Linked DNA regions of Arabidopsis thaliana. The protein of the gene in region 4 interacts with the protein of the main gene of each other region in a pairwise test. Each region holds a gene or a part of one and is shown on either strand. Other genes may lie near its edges. The genes, in order: AT1G62975, AT2G19260, AT1G58110 and AT5G05120.

Region 1 (7,648 bases), on a different chromosome or scaffold from region 4:
TACTATTATTGTATACAAACTCTCTTAATTCGCATCAAAATTTGTCAAACGATCTTTATATTAAACTGAAGTGAGTATCATACATTGGCGAATCATGATCATATCGTCTAATCGTTATGTCATATTTATTGATAACTCTTGAATTAGAAAAGTCATTTTCTGATAAGAAAAAAAGTACCAATGATCCCATCAATCATTTTGATGCTAATATATGAATGAGAAGATAATTCAAAAATTTTAAACACACATAAAAATCAACAAATTTTCCTCAACCCAATGATGGATATACAAGAATTAATGACTACCATATAACCAAAGGGAGTTATTCATTAGAAAAAAAGGATCAACCTCTCGATCGATCGGACTCAACAACAAATGGCAAAACCGTATATTCAAATAAACCGGTTTCTCGGAATTGAATATGACCTAAATTAGTTAAAATTAGCCTTGCTCTGGTAGGTCTTGCCCGCGCTCCAGCTTGCCGGAGCAGCATTATAAGCGTAAATGGTCTGACGAGTGGTGTAAGAGGTGAGCCGGAACGAGAGAGACTGACCGTAGAGAGAAGAAAAGGCTTGGTACGAAGCTCCCCAGTTATGGCTCATGTTGATCCACCCTGTGCGGCTACCTTTAACGGCCATGGTCTTGATGTCACCTGGACCACCTACGTTCATCACGTACACAAGTAGCCAATATCCATTTCCTTCAAATTTGAACCTTATTCCTCCGATCTTCTTACATGCCACTCTGCATATATATATCGACATAATCATATTTTAGCATTTGCAAATGGTGCATTCAAACAAGATATCATTCAAAATATTTGACTATAAATATATATAATTTCACTATGGTTAAGATAAACCATTTCTTTACGTTTTCAATCTACCTCTATAATTGTAATGCTCTAATGAAATGTGAATATTACCTGCGATATGAGACGGGGATGATACCAGCCTTCCAGTTAGCGATCTTCATAAAAGCTGGTTTAGTCAAATCAAAATGGACTCGTGGCGGATTACACCATCCACCATTGTTGGATGCTTGGCCATAATTTGGTGGACATATGTTGGTTGCAGTTACCACGGTGGCTGGTGACCCGTAGTAGCAGTTAGGCGACGACACACACTTTAACTGGAAACATTGACCGCATGCATAACCCTCGTTGAACAGGGCTGTGCTCAGCGCAGTCGTGGCTACCCCGTAGCCGCTGTCATACATGTTACCATAGCCACAAGCCCCACCTGATCGATATACATGGTCATGTTAAAAATTGTCAGTACATTTTAATGATCTTCGAAATTAAAGATTCATGTATTTATAAATAAGCCATAATTGTTTCATCTTGTTTGCATTTTTATGTTATGATATATGATTAGTACATTAAAACATAGAAATGCAAACAAACAATCGTTTCAAATAATATGGAATCGAGTCATATATAGTTTGTGTTCTACTTCTACATACAATACAATGTAGAAGTATATGGACTTTACCCATAGTTGCGCTGCCGGTGTCGTCACCGTAAAAAGTGGCTGAGGCTGTACGCCATGGGGTCCCGGCATATGTAGCCATTGATGTGCCGATCATTGCCATCATCGATAAAATAACCAGGCACTTGCGATACAAATTTTGATCCATTTTTACTCTGTTTTCTTGAGGGCGCCTACTCTTATTATCTCTCTGTAAAGCCAAGTCTTACTAATGCATAAGATCTCATATATATAATGAATACAATGGCTTAAAAAAATTTCCCTGAAATGAAAGGCGAAAAAATTGGTTTCAACGTGAGAAACACTATGAAAGAAGAGTATGAACAAGTAAGTAATGGACGTGCGTTCATGTTTGTTTTGGTCTGTGCCTCCCTTCGCATTCTAATTATTTTATTAGTTAGTTTTACTTTCTAATGTCTTCATATATTTTTCTTTCATTTTTTTTGTTTTGGTCAAATTTATAACAAAAGGTGTCTAGTTGATAACATATCACTTCATTTATTAATCACTGGCAGAATAATGAGATTGCTTCTTTTCTTTTGTTATATTATGAGAGGGAATATGTTTTGACACCACGTATCGTATTCGGACCAAAGACCAATTAGACTATTCTCCACAACCAATTTTCGAACTAGGATAATGTCGACATTCTCCTAAAACTTATAAATCTATTGAAGAATATGATGATATCTAAAGAAAGCTACAAATTATATTTTTTTAATTATTCATTCAAATTTCAAAAATGAACGTACCTAACATGTTAAGATATGATTTTGTTACAAGTTTAGCAAGGTCCCAATTTTTATATCTATCAAAAAAATCACTTGTGACCGATTTTTAAAGGAATGTTAATGGAAAAATTGTTGTCCAATAGGGTATTTTAATCCCAAAGAAATTATTGAGCAAATGACTAATTGATTATCATTTCCATATCTCCAACTAGCCAGTCAAGAATCTCTCATGTTTCTTGTAATTACCACTTTTCCTAAGCTTTTTACTAAGATTGGACTTGCATATGTTTGGAGATGTTTTATCCATATTTTAGAGATTCTATATATACACCCTTGTAACGATCATATATTTTCTATTTAATAATAGTAATTAAAATGAAGTATATCATAATTAGAATGCCAAGAAAAACAAACTTTATTTTACAAAAAAAAAAATGAAAAACAAGCATTAGTTTGTAACATTAATCTAAGCACTCAGAAGTAAGCCGATACACTAAAATAGCATGATCTTAGTATCTAACAACTCAAATAATGCATACATTGAAATTCAGTAAAATTCCAATTTCAAACCACGTAATATTTTCATTTGTCATAGTAACTAATTTTCTTCTTGTACATGGGGCTACATAGTCATTATTTTATCCTTAAGCTCCAAAATATTGATCTGTTTGCCATCCTCCACCTGAAAATTTGAAATGAAATGATGATTAGTGTCAATTTTGTTTTTAGAAAATTAAGGCAAGAAAAGATCAAACACTAAAACTTTTTTTTAGAAAATTAGTAATTTATTTATCTAATTCTAATTTCAGGTAAGTATATTCATTGTATTTTTGATAACCACAAAAGTAGTTTACAAACAGATTATAATTTGTATAGAAATTAGCAAATAAAATGGTATGTGAACTAAAAACTGATATTAGCAACTATGATAGACCCAAAAGTTTGTAAATTCTTGTAACCTTTTCTCTTTATATTTTTAGTAACAATTTTACCTGCGAAACAATGGTGTGCATGAATCTCTGTTGCCGTCTAGCTGAGAGGCAACTAACTACACTGAACCTTTGTTCTTGAGCTAACATTTGAAGAACACTCGAGAGACAAGACTTGTTTCGTCCGAGACAACAACTTATGATGATCTCAACACCAACTAAACAAGGTGTGACCACAACAGTAATGTGTTTGTCTCCTACACATGAGCAGCTTGATGATAGTGTTGATGCTGCTGATGATGATAAACTACTGGTGCATTCCTCTATAGCTGAATGAGTAGTAGTTGTGGCCGATATGACTTTTTTTACCCGATTTCTCTTTTCGTTGAGTTCTTTGATTTTGATTTGTAAGTCTTTGATGTAGTTCACTGCCTGCACGATGTGATCTGATGTCGAGCGTTTACCCTGTATGTTAAATGATATGGTCATGCTTAGAACAACTAACTAGCAATTATTTGATTCAAGAATGTACTTGGATATATTAACTAGTGTTAAGAAAAAAGAATGAACTCATCAGTTTAAGAAGATGTTTCCTTGATGTGGTATCCAAAATTCGAGTATTACACTACGTTGAAAAAAAAAACTATTTGTCAAAATTTCAATTTATATATTTTAGATATTAATACGAATGTGTAAGAGTTTCTAATTCTATGTATAAAGTGGTACCACAATATATATACGAAAGATTTAATTATGTAAAAAAATTGTTTTAAAAGTATATACGAAAGCATGAATGATCGAATAGTTAGTAAAAGCTTTCAAAACTAAGGTTCTCTATATACTTTCCTTTTCAATGGAAAGAAAACTGCTCGCTTGCACTTTAACAAATGAAATGGTTTTGTAAATTAGTATGTAATTAAGGACTATATATAGAGATAAAAATATAAAATATTTCTCAAGCTAATCATAATGAAATATCTCCCACTAGATAACTTACCTGGATATATTGAAATGGCAAGAGAGTTCTTAGTCTTTTGAAAAGAGATGAAACTTCTTGTCTTCTTTGCCTTTCAATGTCTCTATGTTTCATCTTCTTGCTCTCTCGATCATCATCATTTTTGTTGGCTTCATTCGCACCATATGTTATATCACACAAACTTCGTTTCTTATTGCTTCCACCAATTTTGTTTGTGATCGAATGGAAAACATCATTGTTTTGGTATGATATAAACGGAGAAAGAAGAAAAGAATCAGAAAATAGTAATCCATCTTCGTAGGTTGAATCAGGCATAAACAATGAAGGAACACAATCCATTGGAATTTGATATCTATGAGTACTTTTAATTTGGTTTGATTTTTCTTGTAGTGTTGTGACTTTCTGGCTTGTGAGGCTCTTTATACTTGCCTCCAAGATTTGTTTCTTCTCCTCTTTAATTGGACAGATGTGATGATAGGTTAGTGATCGATCTCGAAGAAACTAAAATCTCCACAAAATATGAGTAGTTGGGATTAAATTAAAGATGATAGTAATAATACTATTAAATTAAACTTTGCGCTGTTCATTTAGTGGCCATTTAATAATCACGTCAAATAAGAATGGGAACGTATGTTTTAAATGTGCTTGAACATATACATCTCACCTTCATTACACACCACCTAAGTTTTCAACTCCAATAAATTTCAGCTTCACAATAATTCTTAATCCATGGGTTTCATATAAAAATATATACAGATGTTTACACTTAAACATTCATACAAATGGATATGTTACAAATTCTTATGAAATTTTTGATAATACTATCCTATCTATCTCAACGGAATTGAAAATTCTATTGGACCATCAATTAGTAGGATGGTCGGCAATTTTTTCGACCGGAAACAAGACAACATATGTTGTTCAGAATCTAATACTATGTTAAGTTTCATGGTTCCAACTCAAAGGTTAATAACAAGATTATCTCATATCATTTATATATACTAATCAAGTCATTTCCCTTCTTACTGTTGTAAAAAATTTCTCCACAAAATGTTGAAATGGATTTTATTTTGGTTATTGACTCTTCACTTGAATTTCCAAGCAGTATTCAATTACATATATAAGATATATACAAAATTTAAAGTTTTTTTTTCTGGTCAAAAAATACTCCATCTGTTTTATTATAGTATAATATGATACTTTAGAGATTCTGTTTTTCATTATATATATGATGTTTTACAGATTTCTATGTTAACTGTAAATATATTTGTTTTTAATGGATATTTGTATTTTGCAGTCTTTTATATAATTAATTGAATTTTCTTTAATCAAGTATTAAATGATAGTTGTTAAAGAAAAGATAAATTTCTTAAAGTGTGTGTGTTTTATCTAAAACACCATACTCTCACCATTTATTAATAAGTGCCATATAAGGTTTTGATATAATACATAGAATATTAAGAAAACAAATACTTCCTCTGCTTTAAAGTATTTGTCTTTTAAGGTTTTTGCACATCAATTAAGAAAATAATTAAATTTTATTTTATTTTTACTCAATATATTCTCTAAATGTTTTAATTGGTCAAGATATCAAAACTTTGAGGAAAAAACTGGAATTTTTACCAAACATTTGCCTTAAAGATCTAAAATGACAACGAGACAAAATTTAAGTGGTAAAATGATAAATTAATTAAAACGGAGAGAAGAAACATTTTTTTTTTACTTTTTATCAATATACAAAAAATAACCGTCAATTCACTAAATCAATAGATTCAGTTGTAACTTTGATCAAAAGTCGGCATTACAAATATAAAACAACATTTATTTTAAAACAAAATTTAGTATATATGTAAAATGACACTTAATTTAGAACGTAGGAAGTATATTTTAAAACAAAGAGTACTTAACACAGCTAGAGTTCAGATTTCGGATCTTAGCTGAATATTTGCTTAGCTCGTGCAGCATTGATGGACCAAACTGTATTTCTTCTCTTGGACCAAACATTTACTGTTTTTGAACGAAGACCGAAGATTATTGATTTGTGTCAATTATTAGTATATTGTTGTTGCTACCAATTGTTAATGTCATCTCTTCATCATTTATTTTGAGTAGTTATGTCAAGGTTTCTTGATTTTATTTTCCACATTTAATTGAATATAAGAAGATTGACATGTATTTATTGTATACATGATAAGGTGTAGTTAATTACCATAAATAATTTAATCAAATAAACTTTATTAACTCATTATTTGTGAAATTAATATTATGACTGACTGATTTTTATTTCAAAAACTTTAAATAATTCTTAGTTTTGAGGTTATCGACTTATTATGGCACATGTTTTTTTTTTAATATATTTTCATTACAAATAAAACGAGCCATCAAGTTTAAGTCGGCAGATACAAATTATGTGACAGCTTAGTTGAATTTGAAGTTAAACTTAGACTAAAGAGAAAACACAAATCTTTTGTAAAGGTTTATTAGTATAGTGAAAAGGAGATTAAGTAAGATTCTTGTATTTAATTAATAGTAATGACGCGCAATAATTAAGGAGTGTAATTGCAGATGATAACGTGGACACTCAAAAAACCATTGAATGGTTTGCAATAATTGTTAGTGAAGTAATTAATATATTAAATGTGGTCAGGATTAGGTCTGACATTTTGGTAAATGGGGTCCCTTATTTGCATGTCCATTTTGATCTTCATGCACCTACAGAATCATAGATTTGTATGTGATCAGTGATGACGAATTAGTGATATGGTTTTATGATCATTAACATTGTTTTAATATGATAAATTAAAGATCTATTTTGTTAGTGTCCATTGTCCATATTGATCTTCATGCAACTACAGAATCACAGATTTGTAGGTGATGACGAATTCATGAATGATAATAATATGCGATCATTAAGATGGTTTTAATTTGATAAATTCAATTCTGGTTCAGATCTAAACCGGCAACTCTGAACCGATTAATAATTTCTGAACCAAACTAAATCCAAGTCAAAACTCCAATCTCACCTTTTGTTGTTTCAGTGTTCCACTACATCTCAAAAAAGCCATAACTAAACTATACTTTGTTGGATTGTAATATTGGGCCGTGGATCAACTGGACCAGTTAAGTCCAACATGTTTATGGATTATTCACTTTTCGTTGGTTCTAGCAGTAAGAGAACAAATCCCAGATCAAAACGATTCTTCTGCAAGTTTTTCCAGAAACTACATTAATCCAAAAAGAGGCACCAAAACATTACAAGTTACAGCCACTACTTCTAAACTTAACCCGAATAGCTTAGACCGATCAGACCCAGCCTAAGCAGAACATGGAAACCGCGGAAGCAAGCAACATTACGCTACACCTACACGCCTACACTACATAAACAGAAACTACTACAACTAAAAATACAACAACAGAGCCAGAAATGAAGAACAGAGAGAGCCTTACTGAAGTTGTTCTTTTTCTGTTCCCTACCCGACTGATTTTACTCAATCAACCTCAATTACTTTTTGACGTTTTGGT
Region 2 (9,709 bases), on a different chromosome or scaffold from region 4:
TCCTGAAAAAGCCCATATAAATAAGACAAATACTCCGACATATCTCGGCGACGGCTAAGTCTTCCTCTCTCTCTCTCTCTCTCTCTCTCTCTCTGCAATGGACTCTCTGGTAGCGAGCTACGCTTCGTCGGACGAAGAAGAAGATCTTCAACCACGTCGAGAAGCTTTCACTGTAAAATCCTCAGAACCTTCCGCTTCGTCTCTATTCTCAGCTATTCCTCAACCTAAAGAACTCAAATCCTCCGAAGATGGTGATTTAGGCTCATCTTCCTCTCGAGGAAAATCTTCTTCTTTCCTCTCATCTCTCCCTCCTCCCAAATCCTCAATTTCACGGAAAAAAAATCCCAATCCGTCGTCAATTCCGAAACGTGTCGTCCAGATCAGGCTTCCAGTAAACCCTAGACCGAGCAATCTTGACGACGAAGACGACGAAGAAGAAGAGAAAGCTAGGAAGAAGCGTAAACAGATGGAATCTGCTTCCGCATCTCACGATTCATCAGTAAGATCGTTCTTATCCGCCATGCCTGCACCTAAAAGCTCACAAACACTAGGTGCTCTTCCTTCATTGGGATCAGGATCAGGTCGAAGATCGAATCTCGAAACAGAAACACCTTCAATTGCATTTCCTCAAACGGATTCAGGTATTAGTGATCAACAAAACCAGAGCTATGAATCGTTTAGTCATAGTAATAGCGAAACGGAACAAATCGTTGGAGTAGATAACTATTATGCTACTGGTTATGATGGTGGATACGAAACAATTCCTAGTGGTAGTAGTGTGGGATATGATGGTAGTAGCTATGGAGGTAATACTTGGAATGGTGGTGGGTTTGAGGCAATGACGGGATTGCCTGAAGCGGTTGTAGCTATGGATAGTGGTGCGAGGAGAGGAAGGAGAGGGAGGAATCAGATGCCAGAGATTGTTGAGGTTAAGCAAGATGAGCTTATGAAGAATAGGCCACGAGTTGATCAGGTTAAATCTACTGGAATCGCCTTTGGACCTGCGTATCAGGTTTGTTTACTCTCTAAACTCTTCTTACTCGTTTTTGGCTGCAAGAACTTAGGAATTGTCTTTAGAAAAGCCTGAACTGGTAACACTATAGAGTATAGAGCGTTGTGAATTTGTCTCCTGTTTGTGGCTGCCATTGTCAAGTTTTTTCTTGCGAAATTTATTTGCAATAACTTGGGTGTTGTCTTGTCTCTAATGTCTCTTATTATTCTCATTCTCTGGTTCTGTATATCTAAACCCTTTGCTGGTAGGAGATTTTCATTAGAGAGCATATGAGTTGAATATGAGTTGAAGATTATCTCTTGTTTGGGGCTTCTGTTGTCAAGTTCTTTCTGTTTTGCTGATAAACTTCTTTGTGGATTTATAGGAAAAGAGATACTTTGATTATCATACCAATTTTATTATGTGTTCTTCACTGAAAATATACTTGACTGCTTTGTATTGCTTTTTAAATGATGTCTTTGTTCAAATTTGTCTTGCAGCCGGTAACATCTTCATCTAAAGGGAAAGTGTCAAAGCTTCACAAGAGGAAGCATCAAATCACTGCGTTGTTCATGGACATGAAGCACAAGGAGTCGGAGTTGACAGAGAGACGTTCTAGAGGATTGCTCACGAAAGCCGAGACACAAGCTAAATACGGATGGTGATTTGCCGCTATTGTTTTTCTCAATTTGTGAAATTTGCAACAGATTTTCTGTAACTCAGAGTGTAATTTTTTTCTTTTACTATTTTCCAAGATCCAAGCTTTGAATGTAATACTCATTTCCGTGAATGAATCTAATCTCAGCAGAATGCTTTGACCCGGAAGCTGATTATAGATTTTGTTGCATTCAAGATGAATCTCACATTTAACCCAGAACCTGTCCCTTAACACAAACGTTCTATTCACTACTCCTGTTTTGGGAGCTAACAAAAGATCTGAACCTAATTAGTCACTTAGAAAGCAACTTGATATCCTCAAGTAGTACAAAAAGCATTGGCGCTTCACAAAAAATTTCTGATGTTACCTTTCTAGTTTCTAAGGTCTCTCTAATCCAAAAGCATATGCATTTTGATTGTGTCCATCAAGATTTTCCTTTGATATGTGATCTGCTTCGACCCTTTGGTCCTAGTTTTCGCTTTTTGGCGTCTGATCGAGGTCTAAGCTGCAGAGGAAACCGACCGTTTCAGTTTTAGATCCTTGATCAGAAAGGAATATGGTCGGGAAAGATCAAACAAGTAATGAGAAAAATAACGAACCATCTTGATGTACTTGAGTTGTTTAAGGATCTCACTTGTCTCCAGTTCCTGCAGAAATGAACACAAGATGCATTGTATAAACTTCGATGGCTCTTTTAGGAGTATTAAGATATCTGTTCAAGAATACAGATGACATGTTCATGGAGAAAGATGAAGCAAGACGGTTCAATAATTTTCAATGCTTTTCATCCTCTCACGGCTGCTAACTTTTCATCCTCGGAAGGATTTTTCTTTGGGGGAAATAAGATAGTTGTAAAGAGAGTTTCTGACCTGAGGGACGGCACAGTCAGCACGTGATGGATCCCAAGAGAAGCAGCAGAAGCATTCCCAGTCTTTGGTTTGTACCTCTGAACGAGGGGCCCTGTGTATATCCAGTCAAATTAAGCATATTTAGACAAGGAAGAAGGTATTGGTAATTGGTAAGAAGTCTGATGAAAAGGCGATAGAAAGTAAGTTACATTCAAGACGAGAGCATGAACCAAATAATGGAACTTGCAAAATTGTTTAACTTACCTACGCCACTTTCCGCAGATAACTCCATTAGTATCTTCTTCTCTGCATTGAAGCCAATTCACTGCAGAACATTGTTTCTTACTATTCTTGGCCTTCTTGAGATCCTGCAAAGAGAGAAGGATGGCAGCTATCTGAAATCCAGCTAATTCTATGGCAACATAAACTTATGCTTATCCACTATACTGAGAGCTTACATGCATGTATTCTGACTGGCCAATTTCCAATGGTTCACCCACAAAAGAAGTATCACTGCATTGAGATCAAAAAGCTTTTGTATGTCAACCAAATAAAACAAAGCCATTCATTTTAGTGAAAGGAACAACACTTATTTGCCAGTTGACCGAAATCTTTGATATTACAATAGTTCAAAGGACTGTTGAATATCAAAGTGCATACCTCATTGTTGGACCTGACCAGTCTGGAACATCTGCTTGAAACATTTTTCCTATTCTAATTCCTATTACAAATGGTACTGTAACTCTCCATTTCCGTTCATGTGAAATTCTCCCCTTAGTCTTGGTCTTTGATGACTGATTTTTCAAACAGGATGGACAGAGCCACTCATCTATCTCTGCAACGTCTTTCATTTGAACACCGCAGCAGCGTGTATGATATGCTTCTTCACATTCATCACAAATTAGCATCTTTTCGACAGTTCCTGGCTTATCACAATGTTTACACTGCCTGAAAGGGCTGCTACTACCATCTGTATCTGTCTCAGACACCCCAGAATCAGAGGAATAGCAATCATCTTCCCGAGATTTACTAGAAGTTGAATTAACTTCAGAACTGGATTTCAATGAGGAGCAGCTGTCATTTGTTCCATCAGAAGAACATGTCACTTCGGTAACTTGGGTATCGTCTAAAAGTTCTCGAGAACTGACAGTAGAACGTTGATCACCATTTTTCTTGGTTTCGCTTAGGTCACGTCTAGCAAAAGGTCCTCTGAATTTTAACTTCTTCCGGGTATAAACTAGAAAGCCATTAACCCGAACACCAATAGATTTCCCACTCTTCTTCCTCCGGCTATACGTAAGTAAGACCTCAGATCTATCTCCATTTCTCTTGGTTTTTCCAACATGACTTTCAGTAAAGCTCCCATTAGATTTCACTAACTGCTTTCTTTGGCTGTAAACAAGTTGATGACCACTTTTCTTGATTTCTCCAGGCTTAGGTCTAGTTAAAGAACTATCAGCTTTAACTATCTGTCCCATTTGGCTACATGCAGAAGAGTCAGCTTGATCATAGCTTATCTTGGTTCGTCCAGTGACATGTTTGCTAAAACTACAACTATTAAATTTCACTCTACCTTTCTTCCTGCTATACACAAGGCAATCATCTGATCGATTGCCTCTTCTCCTGGTTTCTCCACAGTCATGCTCAGAAACAAAAGCATCATCAAGCCCATCACCCCTTATCGTAGTTTCTCCAGTAAAAGTACAACTGGATTCCCCTCTCCTTTTTTTCCGGCTATAGACAAGACAGTTGTTGAAGCGATTTTTCCTTTTTGTGCTTTCTTCAGGGTTATATAAAGAGACAATAGAGTCATCAAGAGAATCATCCTGTTTCCTGATTTTTCCTAGGTTATGTTCCTCAGTTCCCCCAGGTATTAAGGTCCTCTTCCTTCGACGATACACAAGAGAAGTCAGAGCCTTTCCCGATACCTTATGCATAACAGATTTCTCTGAACAACTTTCTTGATGTTTTGGATGTTTTGATTCATCAAGATTCATAGTATCAGTGACTGGAACATTTTTAAGAAAGCTTACTTGAGACTGTTCGGGAACTTTGTGGATCATCTGATAAGATTCAGCAAGAGACGTCCAATCATATGCAGCAAATGGGTCTTGATACTCGGATACGTTCAGTAGACTAGTTTCAACAGAAGAGCTGAACGAACTTTCCACCAACATGTTTTCCTGAGAAACCAAAAAAGTATCTGAAAGCACATTACTTCTCTAAGTACCAATGAATCTGTTGGTCGACTTCTTCATGTAGTCCCTCTGGAATGGTAATGCTCATATCCTTCTGATCACCTAAATGTCGAAAGCAAAACATGGAACAGAGTCAAAATGCAAGAAAACCAAGTCCATGAGTACCATAACGAAGAAACAGTAAGTTATCTTCTGATCACTAATTTGGATCAATTTCACCCATTGTTTTAAACTAACTCCAGTAACTTATCAGGCGCTCAAAAGGTTGCTCTCCTGATTCGTGATTGAATAATTTTGTGGTACTGCATTAAGCGGACACATACTGTTCTCATCATCTCCAAGTCTCACTGAGAAAAACAAATCGGATTCCTAACTAGTGATAAAATGCAAACTTTCCATTCAGAAAAACCTTTAATCCTCAGTAAGTTAGTAATCCAGGATGTTCTTGGATGCTATTCAGATCCAAATTCAGCACCCAAGTTTAGAAAACTACAAAAATTCGGATCTAAAGTGACTCGAATCTGGAAACCCATGCGCCCTTCAACCTAGATTCAAGCTACATATCTATATCATCTTAAATCCAGGTTGCACAAAACGTTTGTGAAGTAAGCAAATTTCTCTTCCTATTCTAAAATTCAAGTCTCAATCTCTGAGAAATCTTAATCTTTCAGTCGTTTAAAGCACCATGCACCCTTCAACCTAGATTCAAGCTAGACATAAATTTCTCTTCCTATGCTAAAATTCAAGTCTTAATCTCAACAATCTCTGAACAAATTTTACCTTTCTGAGAAATTCACAACAAAACAGACTTCCGTTCTTATGAAAACCCTAGAACACAATCAAACCATCGGAGACTAAACACCAAAATCCAATTCCAGTAATTGCAGAAACCTTCATATACCTCACAAAGCACAGCCAAATCCAGTACAAAACAACAAACAATACAATGAACAGCGATACACAAACAAACAATTTCGTAACAAGAAGAACAATCTCGCATTTACCAGATGGACTACGAAGATACACAAGAGCAAAATCCTCGTTTGGGCTTCTCCAAGTTATGGCGTTTCTTCTAAACAAGTTTCTCAAGTTTCCGACTCCTCCACTGACGCAAGCTCTCTCTCTCTCTCGCTCTATCGCTCTCTCTCTCTCTAACTCACTGGCAAAACAACTTTCTTTGATTTTCCTGTGGAAAAATTTATATATATAACTTCAAAATCTAATTTATAATTAAACCGCTCAGATTTTTTGTTCTTGTGTAAAATGGGTCTCTTTTTTTAGTTTCTTGCATTCTGATCCCTGAATCTGAACTGTATCAGTAGAGAAGATTCACAGATTCAATATTTGTTAACCAAATCACAATGAAGAACCACAAAATATTTGGCATTTTTATTATATATTACATACATAGGTGTTACACTGTTGCAGAAAGTTCAAAGCTACATGTGTCAAGACTTAGACTTGTTTATTCCAAGAGGATCAAACAATACAAAACTATACATATGATTCTGCAACATAACAACATTTCTCCTAGAAGCTCAAAAGCCTCTGCTATTGAGTCCTCTTGGGAGTAAAACAAGAAGACTTGCCTAAAACTCAATGGCTAGTGCCTCAGGTGTAAACAAAGCTTCTCCATTAGTGCTTCAAACTCGTCCTCTTCTTGTCTCTTTGTCTTCTAGAAGTTGCTTTAAGCTCATCAAAACTCAGACAATGACAAAGATGTGACATCTTAGAAGTTGCGAAAAGCATGTGCGAGACTAATGGCAATGGTCAGGAAAAATATGAGAGCAGCGCTATCACGAATTTCAACTTCTGTTTTTCGCTTGCATCTAAGAGTTAAACAAGAAAAATATCTGCGGTTGAAGGAAGAAAAAGAGACACTTGCCTGCTGAGTGAAGCAGTCTCGTTTGCAGAATCTCGAAGTTGATTAATCTCAGTCTTGTCCTCGTTGATTGCTATAGCCCCAGAATTTTCAGAGTGCCTTATAATAGTGAGGTTGTTGAGAGAGACCTTATTTAAATATCTTAGAGCCCACCTTCTTACTCATCAATGTCAGATGTTGTTGCACCATTTGCTGACCTGACAATGGAATTCAGGATATGATTACCGACAATAGATTTTATGAAGAACCAATACTGAAAAACCAATGTTTATTAGCGACATGAATGAGGATGTTATAGCCTAACACGTTCTAACTGTGGATGCTGGATACCTATAACAATTGGAAACAAGTACTTTTTCACGGATACCTTCTTTAGTTCAAAATCCAAATTTTATGAAAACAATGCCCCTTATGGTTTTGCAAACATCTGATGAACTTACAGCTACATAATGCCAGCAGTTAGAACATTTTAGACGCAGCAATCAGATATCTTATATAAACTACAGAAGAGATTAGAAAATAGGAAGCAGATGTTAGACCATAATAACCCCACTAGGAAGTCTGAAAAATAGAACTTATACCTTCATCTTCTACGGAGAGTCTTTCCTACTCTTTGGTTGTTTCTCCTTCCGGGTCTCTCTAATACCGTTGCACATAGTTATAAGTTTGTATCTGTTACTTAGACCTCAGTCTTCGCCTTCAAAAATCTGCTCATCTAAAAGACAGTCGTTTCTGAGTAATGATAAACAAGAAAATCATAAGCTATAACAGTTTACCAATAGTGTTGCAAAAAAATTAAACTGGAATCATTACATAACGAGAAGGTGGTTAATATTGTGAGCATGAAAGGGTGAAACAACTTAGCACACTGCATTATCAGTCTTGCGAAATAATTGGAGGACAAATCATATGAATCTTCATACCATTGGATACTACTACCAACTTGGTTAGTCAATAAACAACACTGGCATGCTTTTTTATGCGTAAACTACTGTCCTATGGAGAATCTCAAAAACGGAGTTTCTTCTACTTTGCTTTTTTTTGAGCAAATCACTGTATTTCTCCCGTAAACAAATAAAGGGATTAAAATAAAAAGTACTCACATAGTATAGTCCACTGCTCTCCATTGTCTTGGCATGGATACAATTTCTTCATTGTTGGTTTCACCTAAGGGGACCCTGTTTCCAAGTGTACGTATGACAGTTCTTCTAAAACACGGCTGCCGAATCCTATAGAAGAGCAGCTCAAGCTAGTTGAAGTTATGTTGCCATCTTCATCGCTAGCATTTCCCAAGCCACTAATGCTATTTCCGTCTTCCTTCGCTTCAGGATCATAATCACCATTCTCAGAGTCATCTTAAGGCTAATCCACATTGTCATTGAGTAACATTTCAGAACCAGTATGGAGACTAGCTTCACCTTTGAATATATCCAAGAGGAGAGTACAAAGTCTCAGAAGTAGAAGGAACATTACAGTGTTCATTGCTGTTTGTCTCTTTTACCATTCTAAAAACCTCATTACAGTGTTCTTGCAACTGTTTAGCAATTCCAACTGCTGCTACGGGATCTTCAAAACTCTTAAAAAGAGAAAGAACAGAGAATTATCAAAAAGAGCCAGGCAATATTTTTTATCATCGATTCATACACTCCAGCAATACCTTAAATTAATGGCAACACGGTTACTCTTGGATAGCACCTTCTTCAGGTTGGTAGATTGCAACTAAAAGTGGCTTGCATGGGTTCCTAAAGCTGATTCCTTCTCTTTCAACTATATTGAGTATTAAACATCTGTAGTAGCTCTATATCAGACTCATATAGAGAAACAGACACAGAGACGCACGTCAAATTCCTCTTTTTAAAAGTAGTGATACACACGAAGTCAAGTCAATTTAGAAAAATATAACGAAACACAGACATTACATATACAGAGTAATGTAAACTGTTCAAAGATCATATTGAAACTGTTGTTGAGCAGTGTATATGATAAAGAGCAAAAATTGATGCAAAGCCAGAAGCCATCAAGTCTTTTCGCATCTGAATCGAAAAATTGATACAGAACTGCGATAAATTACTTACCGATCATGCGTGGTCGGTTGAGTCACCGGCGGCGACTGACGAAGCTGTGGGGTTTGGGTTCGTCGTCACCTTCAACTTTACTTTTTGTTCAACTCTTAACGTTTTTACATTTGAGCCCCTCTATTTAACAATCTATATTCAATTTGTTTTATGTTCATGAAATGAAAATTACATTCCATTCCCTATATTTTTGAGACATATTTCAAATTTGTTTGTTGGTTTTACTTTGGAAAAAAGAAAATAACTGTTTCCCAAAAAAATAAAAATAAAAATAAATCCATAGGCAATTAACAGATGGTCAATTTAATTATGCAAAAAGAGAAAAAGATGGTCAATTAATTAATTATCAAAGAAAAATCTGATTATAGGGTATTTCAATTAAGTGATAATTTATTTTTCAGTGATAATATATTACTGATATTTAATACCTTTTTTCTCAACATTCCTGGAATGACTCTTTTGTGCTCTAATTAATTTTGGATTTTTTTCTCAACATTATTTTAATAATTAATACCCATTTTTTAGGTTACAATTAACAAAAAGAACAAGACAAAATTCAATTTTAATTTAATTAGCATTTAGCTACTTGTTCTTCTTCATCAATCGGCTCTTCGCGCCTGGAATCTCTCACGCAACAGACAAAATTCATATTTTCATCATCATTCATCGTAAGTAGTTTCATGAAGAATTAACAATGTTTATCGTTTGGTTATAGTTTTGCTTATTTATCTCCTCGGAGCTGTGTGATTTAACTTAAAATTGATAGAGAAGCAAAAGAGGATTAAGCTATATGGCTCCGTCGGAGATCGAACCAGCTTTGCAAGAACCGTCGGGATCATTGGTTTTGAGTAGAGAAGATCGTCGTTTCGCTAATCTAAGAGGAGTTCGTTGGCGTGTGAATCTCGGAGTTCTTCCGTCTTTGGCTTCTTCAATCGATGAATTTCGCAGAGCAGCAGCCAATTCTCGCCGAAGGTAAACATTTCTGAATTTTGGTAAATTTTCCTCTTTTTGTGGAAGTGTGTTCATAAAACCCTAAACCTCATATAAAAAAACATGG
Region 3 (8,180 bases), on a different chromosome or scaffold from region 4:
CTGAAGTGGACTTCCTCTGTACTGATCCATCGGAAAACTAAACCCCGTTCCCGCCATAAAGTGAGTCGCTGCTCCGCCTCCACCTCCCGCTCCTCCTCCAGCAGAGTTCACAAATGGCCACATAGGAGGAGCACGGTGGCCTGCGGCGGTGTTATTGTTGCTACTACTCTCCATTTGATTACCGGCCGTTGTCGGTACCGGAAGCATCCAAAAAGTGTTCCCAGCACCAGACCTACTCGGCGGCGCAACCGCCCACATCGGCGCCGCCGTAGGACCCGACGTTTCACTTTCTTTCAAAGATTTATTCTCGTTCTGTTTCCGATCATCGTTTTCTTTAGACAAATCAACCGATCTATACCGTTTCCTAGAGAAATTCTCACCTTCAGGAATAGTTTCCACCGGATCTTGATTCTGATTCTGGTTCTGGTGGTGTTGAAGCTGATGATGAAACCCTAAAAGCGGCGACGTATGAGCAGCAAACACACCGCCGCCTCCTTGTTCATCATACTGATGATGAGTCAATCCAAGAGCACCGTAAAGCGGCACCGATTTCGACGGCGGAGCAGAGAGAGTCGATCCACTACTTCGTAACGAAACACTTAAAGTAGAGAAGTTCGCCGGAATAGTTCCTGTACCTGTAGCAGCAACAATAGCTGGCTCAGCTTGTTGAAGAAGCCATTCAATAGTTTCACCATCGGATTTATGACCTAACTCTCTCGTTAACTGAAAAACTCTAGCTGCACATAGCGCCGGCATACGAATCCGACGTCCTCTTCCGTCGACTTTCGTGTGACGGTCTTTAGTCGACCGCTTCGTTGTAGTCGCCGTTGCCGTAGATGAGGTTGTTGCGAGTGTTGAGTCTTCGGGAGGTGTAGATCTGGGAACGATTGAGAGAGATGCGTCAACTAGCTGTCTTGCTCCTCCTCCGGTGGCGACGGCGGCGGTGTCGTTGTTGTTGTTTCGGATGTCGGAGAGATCCATTTTCCGGTGAGAAAGAAGGGAAAAGAAGATGAAATTGAAATTAGGGTTTGGTGAAAGAGGAAGAAACGGCCATGGAAGCTCCGATTGTCGCCTTCAAGTTTGACTCTTGTCTTCTTCTTTGTCTCGAGAAGAGAGAGAGAGAGATGAGAGAAAAAAAGGTTTGATGATGTAAAAGCAGGTGGATGACTTTTCCAGCAAGAGGATATTATTATTAAAATAAATAATATATATGCCGTCATTAACATTAAATAAAACGTTTATTGATTTTTGATTAGTTATTATATAAATCAAAAAGTAATTAGGGGAGAAAAATAACTTTTCACAATTATTTTAAGTCTTTTTTATCAAAATTCTACCCAAATATGAGTTATGTTATTTTTCAATTACATTATTTTCATCACAACATTATTGTTTACCAATTTTAGAGCACCAATAAAAAAAGGTTTAAAAAAGATTTGTGGATTAAGAAAGTTAGAAAGAGAGAGATAAGCATCTTTCAGACAGTGAAGCGTGCGTATTTTTGCAGGTGGGGACAGCTCATTACAATCCACCTCCGTATCTCCATTTCACTTTTGTCTTAAATATTTTTAGTTTTATAAGATTTTGTTAAAAGTATATCCATTAGATAAATGACACTAAATTCTTTAATTAGTTATATAGTTTTGGGAAAAAATGCACTTTCAAATCGTTACAGCTTTTTGTTTTAGACGTTATTTTGGTTATAGATTCATTAACATATCAGTTTGTAAGAATTTGGATCACAAATTTGATCATTCAACCAAATTAAGAAAGACATCAAACGTTACTCGTCAAGAATCCCAAAGAAAGGATGGACAAAAACTTATCTAATTTGGAATTTTCTAGTATTTAGAATTTATGAACCGGTTGAAATGGGCCGGTCTGTTGTGGCCCAAACCCGAAAAATTATTTATGAACGGGTTTCCTCCTAATTTAATATGGTAAGGCGTTGGGGTATTTGGGTCTTTTTGGGTTTACGGTTCAGTTATTTTAAGATTTCAGATTCAGATCGGGTTTTTTTGGTTTGGATTCGAGTTCATCCGGAATATCCAAAACTCAAAATTTTGTATCAAAATATATTTAAATTACTTGAAAATACACAAAAAAAATTCCAAAAAACTTGAGTATTTTCTATCCGAATCTATCGAAAAGTAGGTAAAATATCCAAAATATATACAAAATCTAATATTTTATGCACTTAATAGTTGTTGTAAATATGATTATTACTAATAAATTATTTTTATGTATATATATTTCAGATATGTTCAGAAACTTGATCGGATTCGGGTTTTGTAGTTTAGGATCTGATTAGGTATTTTAAAATTTTGGGTTTGAATTCAGATCGGGTTTTTAGGGTCAGGTTCGGTTCGGTTCTTCGGGTTCGGGTATTTTGCCCACGCCTACCAAAAACATTTCTAATGTAGCCGTTTCAGTTTCCTCTAAAACCAAACGACAACAATGCTAACCAGTTTACTTTCTGATAACAATTGAGTTGATATAGGCCCTTCAAGAGGCTTGACAAAGAGCAATGAAATAGCTGTAAATGTGCATATAAATTAAGTGCAGATCTGAGGCAATCAAATATTTTGACGCTTGGGGATAGTACTACAGAAAATGGCAACAACTTTACATGAAGCATTCACTCGAAGGGAATGCACCATTTTACAAGTAACATAAAATACAACAGTGGGTATCATAGTACAACTCCAGAGATGAGTCCGGGTTCGAATATATTCGTCCCATATATTACACAAGTCGCTACAACAATCACCAGATAAATGAAGTCCAGGTGTCTGATCTTCGAACTAAACCACCTCAGGCAAGCCATCTCCTGGAAGTAATATAGGATTTCCAGGTGCACTGGTGAGTTAACTTGTCAACCATAAGAAAAGAAAAAAAAAGAAACGACGGGGGAGTTAAAAACGTCTGTGGTGAGGCGGTAGATAAGGGTCTGATCTTGTTGAGTCGCCAGGCCCTTAAGATCTCTAATGAACCAGTGGGTAGAGAGACATTTACTAAAAGTGGAATTGACCCATCACAGATACAGAGTCACGCCTACAGTTGGAATCTTTGGTGTTCAGTGAAAGACTGGAGAACTGAGAGTCGAGATCTTTGCTAGTAGCACGTCCGCGACTGGCTGATGGTTTTTGAGTTTGTTGTTGTTGCTGATACAACGCTCGTAGTCTCCCAATCTCCTTTTCCAACACTTCTTGTTCCACTGGATAATAGACAGAACTCATGAGGTATACAATCTTAAGAACTGTTGAATCTTGATAACTAGCTAATACTTACAAACTCATACTCTAGACTATAGTTTGAACCTTAAGAACCTAAAAGAAACTGCGAGAAACTTACATTGTTTGATAAGCTTCTCCTGAGCTATACTTTCGAGACGCTTCTTGAGAGCTTTATTTTCCATACTCAGAATAAGATTCCTCTGGTTGAGAAAATCAAGTTCAGCTGAAACTTTGGAGCCTTCTGCCTATAGTCACAAAATAAAATCCATACTTCAGTGCTGCACAAATTGTAATCTACTACATCTTTCACTTACTCTCTCTTTGAATGCAAGTTTTTTTGAGCCTTACCTGCAATGTCTGTACATTTCTTTCTAGCTCAGATATGTACTGGAGCTTACGGACCCGTGATCTTTGTGCAAATTGCCTGCAGGGAGCAGCAAACTAAATGAGTACTGATCATTCTATATTGCTTTGAATAGGTACATCAATCAAGAACGAGTAAAGAGATCACAAACTGTTTGGCTCGTTTTGTGTTGTCAGCTTCATAAGTCACAGGCGAAGGATTGGAGTTGTTTTCCTCAGAAGATAACATCTTTGGGTCATGAGAAAAAGGTTCAGCATAGTTCTTTCTTTCTGACGATATTACTGTTGCATCTTGAGACATATATAAAGCTCCCAAGTTTTTTCCGCCACCGTTCTCACGAGCGAAAGGTAACCAAGAAGGACAAGCCCCAGTTGCCACCAAAGAATCCCGCTGACGACTCTTCTGTTTCAGAAAACTAGCACCAGAGTAGAAGGCAGCATCCTGAGCATTTTTATTCCGGTCAAGCTCTTGGACTCCTCTTTGAGTGGATAAAACAGTATTCCTATAACTGAAATCATTTTGGAGAGTCAAACTTATGTTTGTAGCATTAGCCACATCTAGATAAGCGTAAGAGTCACTTGATGAACGCCGATGACCACATTTTCGAGCAGGGCTTTCCGGCTGCTCATTGAGAAGATCATCAAGCCAAAAGGGAAGCTCTTCTACCAAATGGCTCTCGGAGGAAGTTCGCTGGTGATGTGTTTTCTCATTACTAAGCTTCTGACCATGTCTTGAACCAATCAAACCAGTAGGAATATACTCGGAATACGATGCTGATACACTAGGAAACGGTATTTTTGGTGGGAGCAAAGCATGCTTTCCCGGGTACATCAAGTTTCTAACACTCTGTGATCCCTTGGAGCTAGCCATTGTCACCCTTGCCTGACAAAACAACAGTAAAAGATAGATCTGACTATTTAAACCATTGCATCAAAACCCACAAAATCAAATCTTTTTAAGCTTGGCCTAACTCCTAAGAACTCAGTAGCAGATTTAGAACAAAACAAGCAATCCAAAACCTAATTAAGCTAATAAAGTAAGGAAAAAGTTGGTAACAAAACATCAAACACAGATCAATGCAACAAATCTATAGAGCCTAAAATGTTTTATAAAGCTGACACTGAAGCAGAACACTATAGCTGACCAATTCAGACAACCAGACCAGAACAGGTCATCCAAATTCAGTTGCTTTCTTATTAATATTAACATAAACACATAAAAGCGATTACAAGAAATAACCATTTTTTCATTTCAGCTAATCAAAGTTTTTCTTACTCATCCAAGTTAATCAATAAGCTTTTTTCATCTTCCCACATTTTCCAGCAACCAAACAGTGAACACATCAAGTAGTAAAATTGTAATATCAAGAATCTATAAAAGGCAAGTAAAATCAGAAAGTTTCCTTTTTTAGAAACTATGAGAATCAGATAGACAGATACAGATTCGTCTTCCTGATTACAAGTTTTGATAATTGATTCTACTTTCCAACTTAAAGAAGAAGAACAAACTAACCAGTTGGAGACAGATCCAAATCGGAGAAATTTCAGAAAACAGAAGCTGAAAATGAGAACTCCGGCTTGTTTCTTCCACCGGAGATCTTCTCTGTCTTATCGTTGAAGGAGAAGAAGAATCTCTATTGACTAAGAGAAGGGTGATAGAGAGAAATTTGGGGGAATTTAAGTCCTTAAAAGTAAAATAAAAGCCTTCTCTTTTGTCTTAAGACCTTTTGTTTTTCTTACTTTTAGTATTTAAAAATAGTCTCAAATACTTTACAATATTTTATAATTTGACCCCGATGTTTAATTTCCGCGGATTTTTGATTCAAAGTTCAAATACTACTAATTTGAATTGGGACAAAGTAGAAAAGTTCTATTTCTTTTTCTTTTAGTTTATTGCAAAATTTGCTTTCTTAGTAATTGTCTCAATAATTATGGAGTTTTTTTGGCGGAATTGAAATGTAGGATTAAATTATTTAGGAGGTACTATAGTTTCGATATTAGAAATTTTGTTAGTTGTTAACAGACTCGTTTTTGTTCGACGTGGTTGATTTTGATTATCTCGGAACGAAAGATTTCTTTTGATAAATTATTTTGTTAGAAATCATGTATATAATTTTTGTCTTCCGTTTTGCTTTTATTTAATTTTTGTAGAATGTAATTCCATATATTTCTTAGTTTTTTCTAGAATTTGAAATCTTGTTCTTTCTTTTAAATTTTGTTTCAGGTGATATTTAATTATCCCACCATTAATATTATCTTTTGTGGATATGTAGAATTAACATGCACTATAGAGCAGCTGAATTGTCTTGTCAAGCAATGGCATAATTTGTTTTGCTTTTCATATTATTTATCATATTATAAAGTTTTCGTGATGAAAAGTTTTATCTATGAAAAAGGTTATAATATAGAAAAGAACATAGATAGACAAAGACATTAATCTAGTTACAATTTACACGTCATAAACACTACACAAAATGAAAGAGGATCTTTTGTCGAAGATCATGTTTTTAGCATATGGGCCATTTATTTATTAATTTCATTTATTTATATAATGATTGGTGAGTTGGAATTGATCTGTTACCTAACTTAAAGTGCAACAACATGGGCCAACTTGTCATTTTATTACATTTTTTTTATATTTATAAGTTCACAAAATGACAAAAACAAAAATGAAATCTCAAATTTCTATTTTTCTCCAACATGTCTCTCATAAAACTTTTATTTAAATCCAATTCTCTGGTTCCCAATCCAGTCTGTGGCGGCCCCAATCTTTCCACAACCTTATGAATGTTTAGTATCCATTGTTAATCACTGTGTTAACTAATCATTAACCACTTCATAATTTATATTACTACTTGTTTATCTACTTTGTATAAATAATAATCACATCTATATCATAGACTTGACCAATATTTGTTCTAATACTATTCTTAGCCCCTTGCATATATAACTATACATATTCATGAAGCTTGCATGTATTATATAAGTTAAGTGGGACGAGAAATAGACCATCACTATAAGAAAAACTATTGCATGTTGAGAAAAGGTGATAGATTAGTATGAATAAACAAGAAAAACAAATATTTCCCTTATCCGTAAAAAATAATATAAAACGTGTCAAGTAATTCGGGGTTTTAGGTCAGTTCATAAAAAAACATAATTTAGCCACGAAAATTTATGTGTTAAGCTTTTGCATCTATGGTTAAAATATGAATCGTTACATGTGAGCACTAATTAAATGGGCAACAACAATGGCTAATAAATCTTTAGCAAAAAAAAAAACAATGGCTAATAAATATTAACCCTTACAGTCACAGATTTGTGGATTAATAAGCTTATGGTATGTCGAAGAAGCAAAATTTTGTGGACTATCGTCGGTAGGATACTTCTAAGCTAGTATATAAAGTTTATGGAGCCTAATTGATGGATGTGGTGCTTATATATCATAATGGATGAAGAATACTTTGGTATTTTGTTGTATTAGAAAGATCAACTCATGCCTTATATGAGTTTCCGATGATAAAGTCATGATTTATAATCAAATTTGCTTAAGGAAGATGTAGACAAGAGATATATCATCGGTTAGAGATGATCTATGTCAAAGCTATGATATTATTGTGGCAGCATGATTACAGGAAATGATTTAACTAAATGTGCAACGAGTTTCTTGTTTCATCAACACAAAAACAGAGTCAAAACAATTAAGAACTGAAATGAGTTAGCACTGATGTGGACATACCCTAATAAAGGATAATGGTGAGGTTACTTGTAAAAGAAGTTAAAATCCCCCATGAATTAAGAGGAAAATATCTTAAAATAGAGAGAGGCATGGCGTAAACAAAGGCTCAAACAAAACAGCAAAGCCCTTTATATTTTCAATCTAACTCTCTCTCATGTATTGCGAGAAACAAAGAAAACTTAAGCCTCAAGAAATCAAACCCACAAAAAATCAATTCAACAAAACCTCTTTCTGCTCTCTCTCTCTTTTTCATTCCCATATGTTGCTTCCTTGAGTTTATCTCTTCCCAAAGAATGGGAAGCAACATCTGAGGATCCATTTGATTACCATACATATATTAAAAACAAAAACATATATCTTTGTGTGTGCGCGTTAATGATGAAATAGCAGATTGAGAGCAAGAAAGAGGTCATAGCTGATAACCACAATGGAGATTCAGAGGATGAGGCAGTTGATGTCTCTTTGGTCTAATTTGAAGAGTAGCCGCGTTTCTCTCACCGGTGGGAATCATACAGCCGCAAGGTTCTGCACTCGCTAGGCTCGCCTCTTCTCTCGCTAGCTTTTTCTTTCTTCTTTCTCTTCTTCTTACTTCCTTTTGATTCTCTTTTAGCTCTCTATTCTCTTCTCTTCTCTTCTCTTTTTCCTATTTCTTTAACTTTCAACTGTACATTTTCGCGCGCGCTCTTTGTCTCAGCTTTTAAGACATAACAAAACAAGATATGGTGTTTGTTACTGTCCAAGACTTTCACTCCATGTGCCAAAAGCATTGTCACTACCTCTTGAAAAAGAGAGACCGCTCGAGCTCCTCTACAAGCTCTGCGGATACTTTCCTCAAGGCTTCT
Region 4 (6,288 bases):
GGAAACGGAAAAAGACCTTATCGACCCTTTATCTCTCTCTCTCTCTCTCTCTCTCTCTCTCTCTCTCTGTCTCGGACACAAAACTAGTGGGGAGAATAAAATAAAGTTGTAGCCTTTAATTTTTCTTTTAACCCAACAAAACGTTTCCAATTTGAAATTTCCCCAAAGTTGTTGTCTTTGGGGCCAAATACTAAAGAAGACAACTTTCCCTTTTGAAGACATGAGAATAGTTTAGTTTAGTTATCACATTCTCATGATTTGGTGTGGTCGGTTTTGACTCTAGATTTAACCTTTTTTTCAAACACGCATAATCATATCATATTTGTAACTTTTACATATGTGAAGTCATGTATTTATTTACAAGAAACCTTGTTTAAAGCCAAACAATCACCATGTTTATTTTCACTACATAGCAGTATTTAGTATACTATATACTATAAAGGATCCATTCACACATGGCACACAACCCAAAAGCTATCTGCAACTTCTACTCATACTTGCCGGTTTGATCCTTCATCACTTCTACCATGAACTTCTCCAGTTTGTTGCCCCTCTCTAGCTTCAGCAGCAGTTCGAATTTCACACGCTCTTCAACCACCTGCTCGTAAAAATATCATTCCTTTACTTAATTAGGTGCCTGCCTGGGTTTGGTGATTACGAAAGAAACTGATAGTGAATATAATAAGCACAATAACTCAACCTTTGCCCTGGCTAGGATTATATCTATGAGTTTATAGGGGAACAGTGAGTTTGATTTCTGTTGAAGTGATTTCATGGCGTGCTTCGCTGCTTCTTGGACTTCAGGGTTATTTGTTGATACTGATCTCCAGTCAAATCCATTGCCATCTGCCTCAAACAGAGCAAAGATATCAAAAAACATTAAAAACTTGTTATGATCAAAGATCGAAAAGGAAACAGTTTTATGCACAAAAATCGGTGGCTGTGACTAAACCAGAGACGGTGATTACCTGGTTTGAAGCCAAGGTCAGAGATAGTGAAGGAGGGGATAATATTCTTGAACTCCTGAAGCTGCTTAAAGTTCATCCATGGCTTCACCCAAACTTTAGCTTCATAAATCTTTTTCTCACCAGCTTCAATAACTTCAAGAGTAAGACGGTATAGCTTGCCAGCAACCACCTGCTCTGTTGCCTTCAATACTCTAGCAAGCTCAAGAACAGCATTCTACGCATAAAATCCAAAAGCTATTAGACCACATATAGAGATAAACACCGTGAACAGAGAAATCATAAAATTCATCACTAAATACTAATACAAAATCCTTAATCTCTAATCTTCAGACTATAAATCAAGAACACTCAGACACGCAAATTACTTGAATTTACGCTAAAAGTTTTAGAATCCTAACCCTAATTGCAGAGAATATACAAATTAGGTTGGAGGAAATCAAACCTCTCGTCTGTTGTGCTCTTGAACAGCGAAGAGTGCAATATCATCGATCTCTTTTCCACCGTTCCAATCGTTCTTGGAATCGCTAAATCCACCAAGCTTCATCTTTACGACGTTGTCGTTGTACGTTCCTTTTTCTTCACTGCAGATCACAAACTGGCCAAAACCCGAAAGGAGAACCAAGGAGACGCAAATTAACATCATACACATCGAAGCACGTCTCATATCCATTGTTCTCAGTGAGCTTCTCCGATTCCCAAGTTTCTGATCTAAACGCCGATGAGAATTTTCTTAACAGTCAGAGGGTGGTTTCTTTCGCCGGTTAAAGACTCTTTCCGTTTAAGAGAAGCAAACAAATATTATGGGCCATTAAATATGATTTTTAAGCCCATTTTATGGACTCATCTGAAAGCCCATTTTAAATCAATGTTGTTAATCCTTTGAAAAAAAAATATGCAAAAGATCAGTTTTCTTTTCTCAACCTCAAAGATCAGTTTGGTGCTGCTTCTCAATATGTGTTTGGTACTTATGCTCAGTCTTTGGCATTTGGTCAAATTTGTCTTGGGAAGCAGAAGTGGAGAGGTTGTTCACACAAACATTACTTTGTTTTTTGTATGGTTAATTTGGCTATTATCTAAAATTTTGTTTCTTATATAGAACACAAATCATTACAATATTTTATTTTTGATTGTAGAAATCATATAAAATGTTCAAAAATGTGTTTTTTTAGTAATTTGATATAGAGATTAAATGAATAAAACAATATAGAATGTTTTCTTTGTTCTATACCATTTCATGTTATATGTTCTATGTAAACAAAACCATTTACTCAAAACGATCAAAGACGCACTTTCTTAATTTTCCATAGTACAGTGTCATAAGCTTCGTTTTATTATCGAACTAGGTCATTGCTGCAAGTGACCCTTCAAAAATTGCACTAGGAAGAAGCCTAGGTGACTCAGAAGCGCAAATTGCAAAATGCAAAAGATTGCACTAGAGATTTTACCTCTAATTACAAGAGAGATTTAAAAGGCAAAGAGAAAATCTGAAAGCCGTGGTTAAGTTATTCATTAAGACAATCCATCAAAGAAACCATGAGTTTCAGTTGCGAAAGTGTGTTGGACAGCCTCAGGTACCAGTTGCGATTTACGAAATGTGTTGAAAGTGTGTTATAGTCCCCTTTTTCCTTCTCAGGTAGCTAATAACCAATCAATATCTTTGCTTTTGAAGGAAAGACAGGTCGTCGCACCATCCAATCTACGTGCTTCAGATCTTCTCTGGTGACGGATTCGTGCTCCTTCTCAATCCTCATCAACTTGTTTAACGTGTGCGCTATTCCCTCCGGCTCAGTGAGAGATTGCAGTTTCTCGAACATGCATGATTCTCTTCTTCTCCATCCTCCTATTTTCCACTTTTGTCTTCGCAAGTACATCAACCCTGATCGATGTCGGAGCATACTCCGTTGTACAGACCCTTTTCAAGAGATGGCTACTAGAACCAATGATACGGCGGAAGTTCATCGTCAATCCAAGCTCTCAAAGTTCACTAACCCTAATTATAATACATATAGCTTTCTTCTTATCTCCAATTAATGTGCTATTTATAAAAATGTTTACAAAGTTTATAAACCTTGATTACATAGATGTTCAATATCATAAGTTTAATCCAATCTGTATATTTTAATGCTGAAAAGATAGCTAAGAAACTATATAGATTTTAATTTGGTATGTTAGAGTTGAATATCTTGTTTAAACCTTGACTATACATAGATGTTCATTATCTTAAGTTTAATCCAATCTGTCATACTAAGCCATGTATATCACAAGAAAGTCTGAAAATGTGCTATATGTCATAGTAAAATTATTAAGTTAATGCTTTTTTGATGTGAGAATCAGCATTATAGATTTGATGGTAAAATGCTTCCATCAGTTTCTCTACTCTTATTAAAAGGTAGCCAAATTTAGTTTAATTACTTACTTTTAATATATATTTTCATTATGTTGATATGAAAATAATTTTATTTTTATTACCTCCAAAGTGATGTATATGAAAATAAATAAAATTGCAAGCAATGGAAAACAATAGAAAACTTAAAGGTAAATATTTTATTTAAGAGTTGAGATAATTATGTACTAAAAGTTTACTACATAATGACACTAATTAAATCTTTAATTCTTGTTTTCTAAAGTTGACTACATTAAGATCTACTAATTAACTCTTTAAACTCTTCTAAATAATTTTGTTTTCAACTATATCTCAAATTTAATAGGGCAAAACCAAAATCTCCCTACTCACTTTGGAAATCAGTAATGTTTGGAACTAATTTTGACTAAATATGCTAAATGCAACAAGTATTAATTCAGAAACAAATTTACTACGCAAATTCGGCAAATGTAAAATGTCAAATATATATAGTAATTAAACATGTTATGTGTGAGTTGTCGAAATGATAAACTAGTTTGTTAAGTACTTCAGTTAGTCTTTGTTCTTCATCATGTTTCTCTATAACTAAGTCCCTTTCCATATTTCATCAATATGCATTTATCTTATTCAAACATCATAACATTACAACATATAACTTTCCTTGATATTAAAAGTGCATACAAAGTATTAAATCTTTAAATACCTATCCGGGTGCAATAACATATTCAAGCCATCAAACCTAATTTCTAAAAGCCCGATCCGATCGACAACGAAATGTTGTCCTCGGACTCGAATTACGCTAGTGATATTAGCGACGATGCCTCCGCCACCGGATCGATAGAGAATCCTATATACAAATGCAAGTATTGTCCTAGGAAGTTCGATAAAACACAAGCATTAGGTGGTCATCAAAATGCACACAGAAAGGAGAGAGAGGTCGAAAAACAACAAAAAGCATTTTTGGCGCATTTGAACCGACCAGAACCAGATCTTTACGCGTACTCGTATTCGTATCATCATTCATTTCCTAACCAATACGCACTCCCACCGGGATTTGAACAGCCTCAGTACAAAGTTGATAGATCATACAAGATGTCCATGGTCTACAACCAATATGTGGGATCCTCAAGCTCTAGCTTTGCAGGACTACAAAGTGACCCAAGTCAAGGAATGAACCAGGATTGGACCTTTACCGGGATCCCATTCCTACCCCAATCTCAACCTCAACCACTATCGTCACCAATATGTTTGGATCTTTGCCTTGGCATTGGTAGCTCCCAAACCCAACCACAACCTCAAGAACCAAATGATGCAACAGAAGAGATGGATGCTGAGAAAGAAAATGATGGTTCTTCCCTTTCTCTCTCACTCAAACTGTGAAATTGTAATCTTTCCCTTTTAAGTATTTCTTAAACTTTCATTCCTCACCTTTGTTTTCTTGCATAGTATTATCGGCTTGTGTCAAATCAGTACTTGTGCACTTGAACATTGTAATAAACTTGGTTGTTATTTGCATTTGAATTTCATATAATAATAAAAACTTGATATTGTTCTGACTTTGGGGTGTCAAATTCTATTTATAAGAATTTGAGATGCAAATCTCAATTTTAGTTACTTTATGATACCAATATAAAAAAAAAAACCACTCTTTCGAAAGGATGCGGGTTTTGAAATACTTTCGAGCTCCTTCTTCTCTCCGTCATCGTTCCTCTCCCATGGCTCAGTTTCTTCGACGCTTCTCTTCCTCTCCCATGGCGAACGAAGACGAATTCCAATCTCCGGTGGAACCATCACAGCAGCAATCTCAGGACTGTGTTTCGGAGTCTTATCTGATAGGGTTTGTTATCGCGAACATAGTAGGGTTAAAGTACTATTCCGGCCGAATCAACGGTCGAGAGATGGTGGGTCTGGTTCGAGAACCCTTGAACGTATATGACAATAATGCAATCAGAGTACTCAACACGCGATCTGAGCAAGTGGGTCACATCGAGCGTACAGTAGCAGCCGTTCTCGCGCCGATGATTGATTCTCACACGATCGTCGTCGAGGGTATTGTACCCAATACTCGTTCTAACTCCAATAGGTACAGAATCCCTTGTCAAATTCATGTATTTGCAAAGTTAGAAGCGTCCTCTACTGTGAAATCGACGATTTCTAGAGGTGGGTTAGTATTGATTTCGGAGTCAGATACATCGTTTGGGTTATCTGAGGCTGTTGTGGTTAAGGAACAGATGGGAAATGGAGATAAGAGGAGTGTTGATAAGATTTTTAAACTTGTTGATGAGAATGTGAAGTTAATGGGGAAATTGGTAGCGGCTGAGCCACCTAGGGAAGTGATAAAGTCTGAACTTTTTGCTCATCAGAAGGAAGGATTAGGCTGGTTACTCCATAGAGAGAAATCTGGAGAATTGCCTCCGTTTTGGGAGGAGAAAGATGGAGAATTTTTGAATACTTTGACGAATTACCGCTCGGATAAGCGGCCTGATCCTTTGCGTGGAGGGGTGTTTGCTGATGATATGGGGTTGGGTAAGACCCTTACTTTGCTTTCCCTGATAGCTTTTGATAGATATGGCAATGCATCCACCAGTACGCCAACCGAAGAGCCTTTGGATGGTGAAGGAGACAAGATTGAAAAGAAGGGTAAAAAGAGAGGAAGAGGCAAGAGCAGTGAAAGTGTAACTCGAAAGAAGCTTAAAACTGATGATGTTGTTGGCATGAATGTGTCTCAAAAGACAACGTTGATCGTTTGTCCACCTTCTGTGATTTCAGCATGGATAACACAGTTAGAGGAGCATACTGTACCGGGAATCTTGAAGGTGTATATGTATCATGGTGGCGAAAGGACAGACGATGTTAATGAGCTTATGAAGTATGACATAGTGTTGACTACTTACGGCACTTTAGCTGTTGAGGAATCGTGGGAAGATTCTCCTGTAAAGAAAATGGAGTGGCTGAGAA

The links.
Region 1: the proteins of AT5G05120 (region 4) and AT1G62975 interact in a two-hybrid assay, tested with the Arabidopsis thaliana proteins (one large-scale study listed by BioGRID).
Region 2: the proteins of AT5G05120 (region 4) and AT2G19260 interact in a two-hybrid assay, tested with the Arabidopsis thaliana proteins (one large-scale study listed by BioGRID).
Region 3: the proteins of AT5G05120 (region 4) and AT1G58110 interact in a two-hybrid assay, tested with the Arabidopsis thaliana proteins (one large-scale study listed by BioGRID).

The regions. Positions count from the first base shown.
Region 1 is NC_003070.9:23,325,718-23,333,365, reverse strand, and holds AT1G62975 (basic helix-loop-helix (bHLH) DNA-binding superfamily protein), read right to left. Parts: upstream 4,640-7,648; 5' UTR 4,466-4,639; coding exon 4,148-4,465; intron 3,616-4,147; coding exon 3,214-3,615; coding exon of another isoform or gene 3,190-3,213; exon of another isoform or gene 2,904-3,189; coding exon 2,844-2,903; 3' UTR 2,554-2,843; downstream 1-2,553. Other genes in the region: EXPA18 (expansin A18), read right to left, coding at 432-744, 926-1,241, 1,494-1,638; AT1G62978 (uncharacterized protein), read left to right, coding at 1,758-1,904; AT1G62970 (Chaperone DnaJ-domain superfamily protein), read right to left, coding at 7,615-7,648.
Region 2 is NC_003071.7:8,352,296-8,362,004, reverse strand, and holds AT2G19260 (RING/FYVE/PHD zinc finger superfamily protein), read right to left. Parts: upstream 5,914-9,709; 5' UTR 5,700-5,913; exon of another isoform or gene 5,476-5,699; intron 4,798-5,475; 5' UTR 4,675-4,797; coding exon 3,158-4,674; intron 3,011-3,157; coding exon 2,956-3,010; intron 2,866-2,955; coding exon 2,762-2,865; intron 2,610-2,761; coding exon 2,519-2,609; intron 2,297-2,518; coding exon 2,249-2,296; intron 2,155-2,248; coding exon 2,074-2,154; 3' UTR 1,793-2,073; downstream 1-1,792. Other genes in the region: AT2G19270 (mitotic checkpoint protein PRCC-carboxy-term protein), read left to right, coding at 98-1,012, 1,492-1,656; AT2G19240 (Ypt/Rab-GAP domain of gyp1p superfamily protein), read left to right, coding at 9,443-9,624.
Region 3 is NC_003070.9:21,512,905-21,521,084, forward strand, and holds AT1G58110 (Basic-leucine zipper (bZIP) transcription factor family protein), read right to left. Parts: upstream 5,367-8,180; 5' UTR 5,113-5,366; exon of another isoform or gene 4,876-5,112; intron 4,483-4,875; 5' UTR 4,471-4,482; coding exon 3,752-4,470; intron 3,661-3,751; coding exon 3,585-3,660; intron 3,482-3,584; coding exon 3,355-3,481; intron 3,218-3,354; coding exon 3,015-3,217; 3' UTR 2,501-3,014; downstream 1-2,500. Other genes in the region: TCP8 (TCP family transcription factor), read right to left, coding at 1-981; AT1G58120 (uncharacterized protein), read left to right, coding at 8,058-8,180.
Region 4 is NC_003076.8:1,507,128-1,513,415, forward strand, and holds AT5G05120 (C2H2 and C2HC zinc fingers superfamily protein), read left to right. Parts: upstream 1-4,104; coding exon 4,105-4,710; downstream 4,711-6,288. Other genes in the region: AT5G05110 (Cystatin/monellin family protein), read right to left, coding at 488-598, 701-846, 969-1,182, 1,411-1,638; AT5G05113 (uncharacterized protein), read right to left, coding at 2,606-2,863; AT5G05130 (DNA/RNA helicase protein), read left to right, coding at 4,989-6,288.